2 linked regions of the Canis lupus familiaris genome follow. The protein of the gene in region 1 interacts with the protein of each later gene in a pairwise test. Links are inferred from orthologs where the notes say so. Each region holds a gene or a part of one and is shown on either strand. Other genes may lie near its edges.

Region 1 (4,360 bases):
GAAATAACATGAAAAAGATCAGTCTACAAAAAACAAAACAAAACAAAAAAACAAAACAAAAACAAAAAGATCAGTCTACATTTATCTACTCTGTACTCAGATATTTGCATGTCCATGTTAAGAATTCTTAGTTAAGTGTTTAGTTTTGGCTACGGTTGAGGCAGAGGTGGGGATAGAAGACATTGCCCTCACTTATCTCTCAGGATTTGCACGTTTAGCTTCTGCCATCCTCTTCCCCACTATGAGCACACTCTAGACCAGAGTGTTTTGGTTTCTAAACCCTGGTTTTGTCTTCTTCCAGCAGTGTGACCTTGCTGAGCAATTTCCCTTCCTCCCAGGACAATTCTCATTTCAATGCGAGCATCTTTTCCAGCACCGATCTTCTGTGATTGTTCTCTGTAATTTCTTCAAGGCACCTTTCCTGTAAAGCTAAGCCAAAGATCAGCCTCGGTAGATCCCCCAAGTGTGCATTCTGGAAGAGACTATTACTAGCAAGGTTGCCCAAGGGCAAGCAGCTCGTTACTGCCTCCAAGAATCAGGTTTTTATCATCGGCAAAAAGGGAAGTAGGCAGGAAAGTTACAGAAACAGTAGAGCATTTTCTTTTCCAAATGAAAATAGCTCCACAGTCTTGTTTTTGGACGACCGAAGAAATTCTTGCCCGTTGTAAACAACTCAGAAAACAAAGGCAAGTGTAAAGAAGAAAACAAAAAGCAGGGTAACCCCAACGCACAAGAAGAGCAACAGTGATACCAGTGAGCAGGAGTAACATTGCCGGATGGTGTGTACAGCCAGTGGTTTTTCCCCACGAGCACCAACAGACCAGCACTTATGCTACACACGTGTAACACAGCCACATGCACACCGCATGTTCGTGTACATACGCACACACAGAGATTACTTCCACACGGGACAGGTCACACCACGAACACACATTTTCCCCCACGCGTGAGCCCTGGGAAGTGTGGTCAGACTCCGGGGACCCGGAGCACCAGCTATTACTCGGGGGCACCCCTTCGGAGTCGCAGCGGCCTCAGGCCCCCCGTCTCCAACTACAAGTCCCAGCAGTGGCGGGCGCGGGCGCCGACGGGAGGCCGGAGTCCGGAGAGACTACAAGTACCAGCAGGCTTGGCGCACACGCCGGGACTACGATTCCCAGGAACCTCAGCTCGCGGCTCGCGCAGAGCCCTCCGGGATATGTAGTCGTCGCGCGCACCTAATTCCTATTCATTCAGCCTCTGAAGAAACGTAAATTCCTCTCGCGGTCCACCGACGCGACTTCTCACGGGGCTAGCGAGGAGACGGAGCGCGCGCCGGGAAAGGAAAGATTCCAGGCCCCAACCGTGGCGCGGCCGGACGACGCGTGCGCATGCTCGGCGGTCGCCGGCGCCGGCGAAGGCGCGCGCGGGAGGCCTGGAGCGGCAGGCCCCGCCCCCTGGCCCGGTCCCCGGGCCCGGCGCGCCCCGCGTGAGGAGCCTGCGCAGACGGGGCGGGGCGGAGGGCCGCGGGGAGGGACTCGCGGCGCCTGCGCAGAGCGGCGGCTTCTCTCGCGAGGACGGACGCCATTATCGCATCTCCCCGACAAACACCACGAGAATTCCGCAGCCCACACGGTAATTGCAGCTCCCGCAGCCGGTCGCGTCTCCACCTCCCCCTTCCCGCGGGGCGAGAGCGAGAGCGAGAGCGAGATCTCCCCTCCTCCCTCCTCCCTGCGCCCTCCTCCGGCCGCCGCGCCCGCGCCCGCCGCCCCCGCCCGGGACGCCCTGCGCGGCCGCCCAACGGCCCGCCGCCTTCGGCCCCGCCGGCGCGCCCCGCTCCCGGCGCCCTCCCCGCCCGCTCTGGCTCCCCCGGCCGCCGCCGCCGCCGCCGCCCCCGCCAGCCGCCCCCGCCCCCCGCGAGGGCCCCGCGCCGCGCCCCGGACGGACCCGGGCACAGGCCTCCCCTGTCAGTCGGCGCCCGGGGCCCGCGGGCAGGCCGCCCTGCGCCCGGTGTGCCCGCCCCGCGGGGCCGAGGGCTCACGGGGAGGGGAGGGGAGGGGAGGGGAGCGCTCAGGCTTGGGGAGTGCGGCCTGGGGTTTGCCTCGAGACCCCCGCCCCGCCCCGCCCCCGGTGGGCGCCCTGCACCGGGCGCTCCTCGAGGACGCGGGGGCTCGGGGGCTGCCGGGGGGCTCGGGGGGCTCGGGGCTGGCCGCCCCTGGCGCCCTCTGCACCGGCTGCACCCCCCGGCCTCGCCAAGGTCGGGGTAGTCCAGGGGTCGCCCCAGGTGAGGGACCCGGGGGACCGCCCGCCCATTACTCCGCTTCCGGACCGCCCTGCATACGAGGATCTAGAGGATCTGGAGGATCTAGCGGCGGGGAGACCGCGGAACAGCCCCCGAGATGAGTCGTCTCTGTTTAGCTTCGTTCTCCCTTGTGTTGCACTAAAGTGAGAACATGTGCTCAGGATGTTGGATTCCGTGGACATCCCGTGGCCTTAGGGTCTGGAAGTGGCTGCCGTGCCCGCGCTCTGTGCTGTGGCTGGGCCTGCGGACCACTCCCAGGGCTTCTCATCGCAGCCATCTAGAGAGGTGACCGGCCACCGGGGTTAGGACACTCGTCCAAGACGCGGGGAGCCAAGGCCTTGAACTCCTCTCTCCGAGGTCCGTGCTCTTAAATAATAATACATCTAGCAGTCATGCACACGGTAAACCCTCAGGGGAAAACTTAGGTTGAAGAGCAACAGCCCCGTCTTACTCCTCAAAGACTTAACATCTTTTTGCTCTTGGGGAAGGTCTCCGTAGCTCTGGAGAGTACCTTGGTATTTTATTAGTCTTACACATTGTTGACATTCTGTTATCATACGATGATTGAGCCCTTCCTATCATATCCCACCTTTTCTATCCCCTTAATTCACTGTGTTCACTTGACTCAGATTGTTTAAGACCGAGCAAATACTGTTTTTCACTTCTACAGCTTTCTGTTTTTTTCTGTTGTTTGTAGTGGCCTTTCTTTTTCTTTGCATTCTCTGTTCCCATTGACTCTTTACGTTGTAAATTATCAAGGGATAAGGTCATCTCTCCAACTCCCCACTCCTCCCTCCCCCCCATCCTCCTCAGCCCTCTGTCCTCTTTTTCTAATCTGGATTGATTACTCAGGCCAGTACAAGTATTCTTCTGATATTTTCCTTTATTATACATCCCAGTTTGTACAGGATTCCATGTTTTAATCTTGGCTTTCTTCATTTCAATATCATTTCTGCCAAATAGTCTTATTCGTTTTGAGTAACTCCTTACAATCCGCTTTGGTGTTAGGACATTTCCAGAGTGCCCTAGGATGTGGAGTCTCACTGTGGATGTTCAGTGCTTCTGGGCGCTTGCCCTTCAGCTCTGGGAAATCCTCTTGTATCTGACAATTTCCCCTGCATTTACTCTTTTATTTTGATGATGGACATCTTGGATTGACCCACTGAATCTTGTGTCTTTATCCTCTTTTGTCATTTTCTTCTCTTTTTTGGGAGAGGGCTTCAAGTTATCTTCCAATCCTGTTTAAAATTTTTTATTTCCACAGTTGAAAATTGATCAAAAACTTATGTGTTCTCCCCGCCCCCCCCCCCCCCCCAGTAGCTACTTGTGAACATATTCTTGATTTTGAGGATACCAACATGGGATTTTTTTCAATTCTTTTGTTCTTTGATTTCTTATTTCCTCTAGTGCCATTGTTGCCTTTTAAAAAATATTGGCTTCATACTTCATGTGGCAAATATTCCTTAAATATTGGTAATTGTTGTTTAAAGCAAGAGGAAATGGGCAGAGAGCTCTGAGTCTGTGGGGCTGGTTTTGAAAATGTGTGGGTCTCCCCTCAAGTCATTGGGAACTTGTTACTGTGTGGGACTTTGAGTGCCAGATTGCAGAGACTTTTTCTGTGGGTCTTACAGCTTAAGACCAGATCCCTTTGATTTGGGATTGGTCTACCTGGTCTAGGGAGGGTGTGAGCAGAAACGGCCTGTGCTCTGCTGAGTGTTCTGGCCTGCCACAGGCTTACCCACTTTGGCTGTACCCACTCCTGTATGCCCCAGATTGTGGTTTCCTTTGCCTCCATTAGATCCTATCAGTCTCCCAGAAATTTGCAAAGTATCTTGTCTGTGTCATATTTTCTTTCTTGTGGGATTGTTATATGCAATTAAAAATTAATTTAATGGGATGAGCAGAGATCACCTTTGTGGCAAGTTGCTCCTTGTGAGCAGGAATTACAGAGCCCGTTCTTGTCTTTCTGCTCTGCTGCCTCTCTTGGTAATGGATGCCATCCGTCAGTGGAACCGATGCCCTGAGCATTGTCCCCGTGGTCATCTCCGCGTTGCAGTGTGGGCGGATGTCGTGTGTTCCTCC
Region 2 (4,426 bases), on another chromosome or scaffold:
CGGAAACCTCAAAATCAAGCTGAACTTCCTAGAATATAGCAATGATAAATTTTTTCCTCCCAAAGCTATTACTGTTAAATATACCTTGATAAATTAAGTTCAAGTGTAACTACAATTGAAATATGATTCAACTGAGCTATGACCTATTTTTCCTCTTAAAAGCAAAAGAGAATAATGACAGTTGTGAGACATTTTTCCATTCCAGGGTATTTCTGAAAGTTGTTTCACAGCAGAGCTAAAAGCAAGACGCACTAAGGGACAACTTATTTGCTGTAAAATAGTTACATATGCTGCTGCTCACAGGACAGTTGGAATGATTTAATAATTTGTTGTTAAAATTCTATGTCTTCACTTAACTTTTAAACTATACATACCAAGAGGCATTCAAGAAGGAAGTAACTGCAAAAATGTAAGAGGACACCTAAGTCTACAGTTCAATTATAACTATATATTTACAGACAACAGAACAATCAACATGACAAATACATAATTAACATATACTGTATTATGTGGTTGAAAATACCCACCCCTAGCAGAAAGCTTTTTGGTGTTGATAATTTTGGCAGCATATTCTTGTCCAGTAGGGATTTTCATACATCTTCTCACCACTGAGAAAGCCCCCCTGAAAACCAATAATTAGCATGTCATCAATATAATCAGCTCTGATATCCTATTAAAAATCACAGCAATCTGAGCATTTTTACTGCATTTAGTGATTTGTAAAATATCAATGCGCTACAGTAATATCAGAAAATGAACGATTCTTCCTGGGAACCCAAGCCTTCTTTAATGTTGAAGAATAAAAGTAAATTTTATTTAACTGGGAGCACACATTATTAATCAACATAATGAAAGAAACTGCCAATTATGACGGCTCTTGTTTGCCCAGGAAATTTGAAAACATTTTACAATTCACACTCACATAGTACCAAATGCTCTGAGAAGGGAAAAAAAAAAAAAAAAAAACCTGCAAAGAGCATGGCTGAGGAGGAGCAGCAAAAATCTGCTGCCTATTTATTAGAAAAAAAAAATTAATGTGGCTCCAAGTAAATATGGCGATTGTTTTCACTAAAATAGAAATCTTGGGAACATTTGTGTGGTTTAATAAGTCCTGATACGGTGATTTCTCTGTGCCCTCTTTTGAGCTGGGGGAAGGGTGAGATTTGAATTAAGCTGCTCTTCCGACATAGTCTCCATGTTTTAACAGCAGACAACATATAAATATGTAAGGATATACTTGTCATTACGTTTAAAAGATAATTACAGTTTCTTGAATTCAATTGTATAAAACATACATACATACATACACATAAACGCACCCCTTTCGTAAGTAATAGTCGGCACTAGCGATAGAGGAATAGGGTTTGGGTGGGATGCTACATAAACCAACATTCACGGTTTGGCCCCTGGGTCCCTAAGCACACAGGTCCTCAGGAGGTCTCTGGTCCCCTTCCTTAAATTCTCCGAGGAGTTCCGCCAGTCGGGGCGTGGGAGGTCGTTTTTATAGGACGCTAGGCTACCCTTGGCAAGCTTTCTCTCGGTCTCCAGGTCTTTTCCGTCGCCTGTATAAATAAATCCTCCCAGAGAATGCGAAGATGTACACGTAAATCCTAGGAAGGATGATGATGAGCGAATAATCTAGGTGCAAAGGGTAGTGGATATGGGGCAGGGGGTCGAGTTCCTTTGGTGACCCTCTTCCTGGACAGAACAACTACTGGACGTGAAATAGACTCCACGCCAAGTTGAACTTTCGGCATCAATAAATATGGCACCGTCTGTGGCAGGGAGTTCTCGTTCGTACGTGGGTCGTACGGGCGACACGCCGGCTAACCAGGAGGCATCTCTATTTACAGAAAACACGATCTATGTTGCATTTTACACGGGTTCTTGTTTTCTCTCCACACACACACACACACACACGCACGCTCGCACACTTCTCAGGATGACAGCTACAACTGCAGGGATCGTAAATCCACTAAGTCTCTAGTGCAAGAGGGTTGGGGTGGGGGGGGGTGGGCGGGAGAAGGTGGGTTGAGGATTATCGGAATGGGCCACACAAGCGGGGTGGAGGGTCTTTTCCAGTCTCGGTCCCCCTCCTCTTGCTAGAGCAGCACCTTGCTCAGAGCCGGCCACGCCACTGGCCCTCCTCCCACTCCTCGGGTCTCCCCAGCTCCCTCGCCCCGCGCGGGAGGCCGGTGGGTCGGGGAACGCTACCCGCCCCTCTGCTGGGAAGGGGACGTGCGGACGCGGGCAAAGGCGCTTACTTTCCGAGCTCCTCGAAAAGCTGATACTCGTCCGTGAACCTGGTGCAGGTTGCGGTCGAAGCCATCCTCTCGGTGCGGGCTATGCCCCTGGCTGGGAGAGCCGGCGGACGCGACTCCAACAGACGCGCGGCTTCCCCGGGACTGGCCCCGCGGCGCTGCCACCCAGGGCCGCCCTCACTTTCCTCGTCCGAAAGTAGCTCGCCCGGGAGGGAGTGTGCGCAGGGGCGGGGCGCGAGGGGAGATGACCAGAAAGGGTGGCGTGGGGTCTCCTCCCCACGGCCCGCCGATTCTCCTCCTCCTCCTCCTCCTCCTCCTCCTCCGGCCCGTGCTTCCTTCTCCGCGGGACGCTCCACCCGCCCCTTCCCAGCCCCTCTCCCCCAAATGCCGGGGGCGAAGTACTCGGGAAGAAGGGGCCGGGAAATGGAAAACAGCCGGGCACGGGGCGAGAGGCGAGCAGTTGCGAAACTAGCCGCACCGGGCTGGAGGGGAGGGAGCCCGAGGGGGCGGAGGCCGAGGAGCCGGGAGCGGACAGCGCGAGCCCAGCTGCAGCTGTCAGCGGGCGCGGGGGGCGCGGGGCGCGGGGCGCGGGGCGCGGGGGGCGCGGGGGGCGCGGGGCGCGCCGGGGCTCGGCCGAGCGTGCGCGCCCGGGGCCCGCCTGCCTCCCGCGGGCGCCTCGGCTGCCTGGCGCTGCCCCTGGGGCCCGCGCCGCTCCGCTGCGAGGCTGCGCGGCTGCGCGGCGAGAGGAAGAGCGCTCGGATGGGGCGAAGCCCGGGCGGCCCTCCGCGGGCCTGGGCCTCCGCCTCCTCCCCTCGCCTCCCCTCCCCTCCCCCGCGCTCCCTCCGCGGAGCCCCCTCCTCGCCGGTCCCACACCTCCCTCTAGCGACTCCCAGCCCGGCGCCTTCGCGGACCTCGCTCTCCGCCCCGGGTCTCACGCTCGCGCACACCCGTCGGGGGGCCGGGGGGGGCGGGGGGGGCGGAGGATGTACGAACGAGCAGCCCGGCGAGGGTTTAGGCGAGTGAGGCGACACGGCGAGCCGCCCAGGTGACCTCGCGGTCAGGCGGCTGCCGACACTGGGGCTGGATGCGGCGGAACGACGCGGGGCGAGCCGCGGGCCGGCCGGGGGGTGCCCCCGGGGGGAGGGCGACGTGCGCGGCCGCGGCCGCGTCCGCTCGGCTCCGCTCGGGGTCGACACCGCGGGGGCCGGAGGTGGGCAGTCGGCCGCGTCCCGCCCGGGGTCCCGGCCTCCCACAGCCCCCGGGGACTCCGGGCCCGGCCTGCAGAAGCCGCGCCGCCGCCCGCAGCCGGCTTAGCGAGGGGCGCTGCCCGCCGTGCGCCACGTTTCACGTGTGAGGCGACTGCACCTCACTGCCCACGTGCCCCCGCGCCGTTTTCCAGGCCGGGTCGCTCAAACTCTTGACAGACAACCCCCGCCCCAGGCCTTCGCTTCAGCCTTTGCCGAAGGCTAGAATGAAAGCAAACACTCCCCGAGCGAGCGAGGAGCGAGCCACACCCTCCCTTCAGAGTAACTCCCGCGTAAGCTCAGGAAGTTCTGATAGTAAGGCGGCTTCTCGCGAGATCTCCGGCCCGGGCGGCGGGGGCGGGGGCCGGGGGCGGGGGCGGGGGCGGCTGCTGGGCAGGTTGGGTGTCGGTCACGCGACCTGGCTGGGGCTGACGTCACTCGCATCACGTGAACACGTTCCGGCCCGTTTCGTTTTGCAAAGGGAAGAAAGAGAAGTCTAGCGGCCGGGCGTGTTCTGCTCGCATGACCGAAGACCTGGCTAGGCAGTGACCCGGAAGTACGCTTCGTAAGCGACTTAACGGTTCAAGAGTGTGTCCTTAGCATTAGCAGACAGTAAATAGGAGGAAAAAAGTAGATTTAAAATAAATCGCTGATCGCTGAAACAACCCCTGGCCCTCCCTTCTGTCTTTAATAAACTATGCATCTGCAATTTTGAAGGCAGAACAAAACGGTTTTGAACGGTCTTTCCAAATTGCTGTCCTTTGTTTTACAGCAGGGGACCCTAAAAACCTCGTAGTTCTGGCTGATTTGTTCATGATTAGCATCACATCATGGACTCAGATTTCCGCAGCTGGAAGATAAAGGATAACTTGGATATACAGTCTAATGTAGAGGAATTGTTGCCATCTCCCAAGGGCTGCT

Evidence for each region. The genes of interacting proteins can lie anywhere in the genome.
Region 2: the proteins of BANP (region 1) and CAMK2D interact in binary tests that used the Homo sapiens proteins (3 or more experiments, as listed by UniProt). The two-hybrid records come from large-scale screens. The link is inferred for Canis lupus familiaris from reciprocal best matches to the Homo sapiens genes BANP and CAMK2D.

What each region holds. Positions count from the first base shown.
Region 1 is NC_049226.1:65,737,951-65,742,310, reverse strand, and holds the start of BANP (protein BANP), read left to right. Parts: upstream 1-1,487; 5' UTR 1,488-1,611; intron 1,612-2,212; exon of another isoform or gene 2,213-2,635; intron 2,636-4,360. UniProt on the Homo sapiens protein: Controls V(D)J recombination during T-cell development by repressing T-cell receptor (TCR) beta enhancer function. Binds to scaffold/matrix attachment region beta (S/MARbeta), an ATC-rich DNA sequence located upstream of the TCR beta enhancer.
Region 2 is NC_049253.1:6,361,183-6,365,608, reverse strand, and holds the start of CAMK2D (calcium/calmodulin-dependent protein kinase type II subunit delta), read right to left. Parts: upstream 2,819-4,426; 5' UTR 2,330-2,818; coding exon 2,265-2,329; intron 623-2,264; coding exon 528-622; intron 1-527. UniProt on the Homo sapiens protein: Calcium/calmodulin-dependent protein kinase involved in the regulation of Ca(2+) homeostatis and excitation-contraction coupling (ECC) in heart by targeting ion channels, transporters and accessory proteins involved in Ca(2+) influx into the myocyte, Ca(2+) release from the sarcoplasmic reticulum (SR), SR Ca(2+) uptake and Na(+) and K(+) channel transport.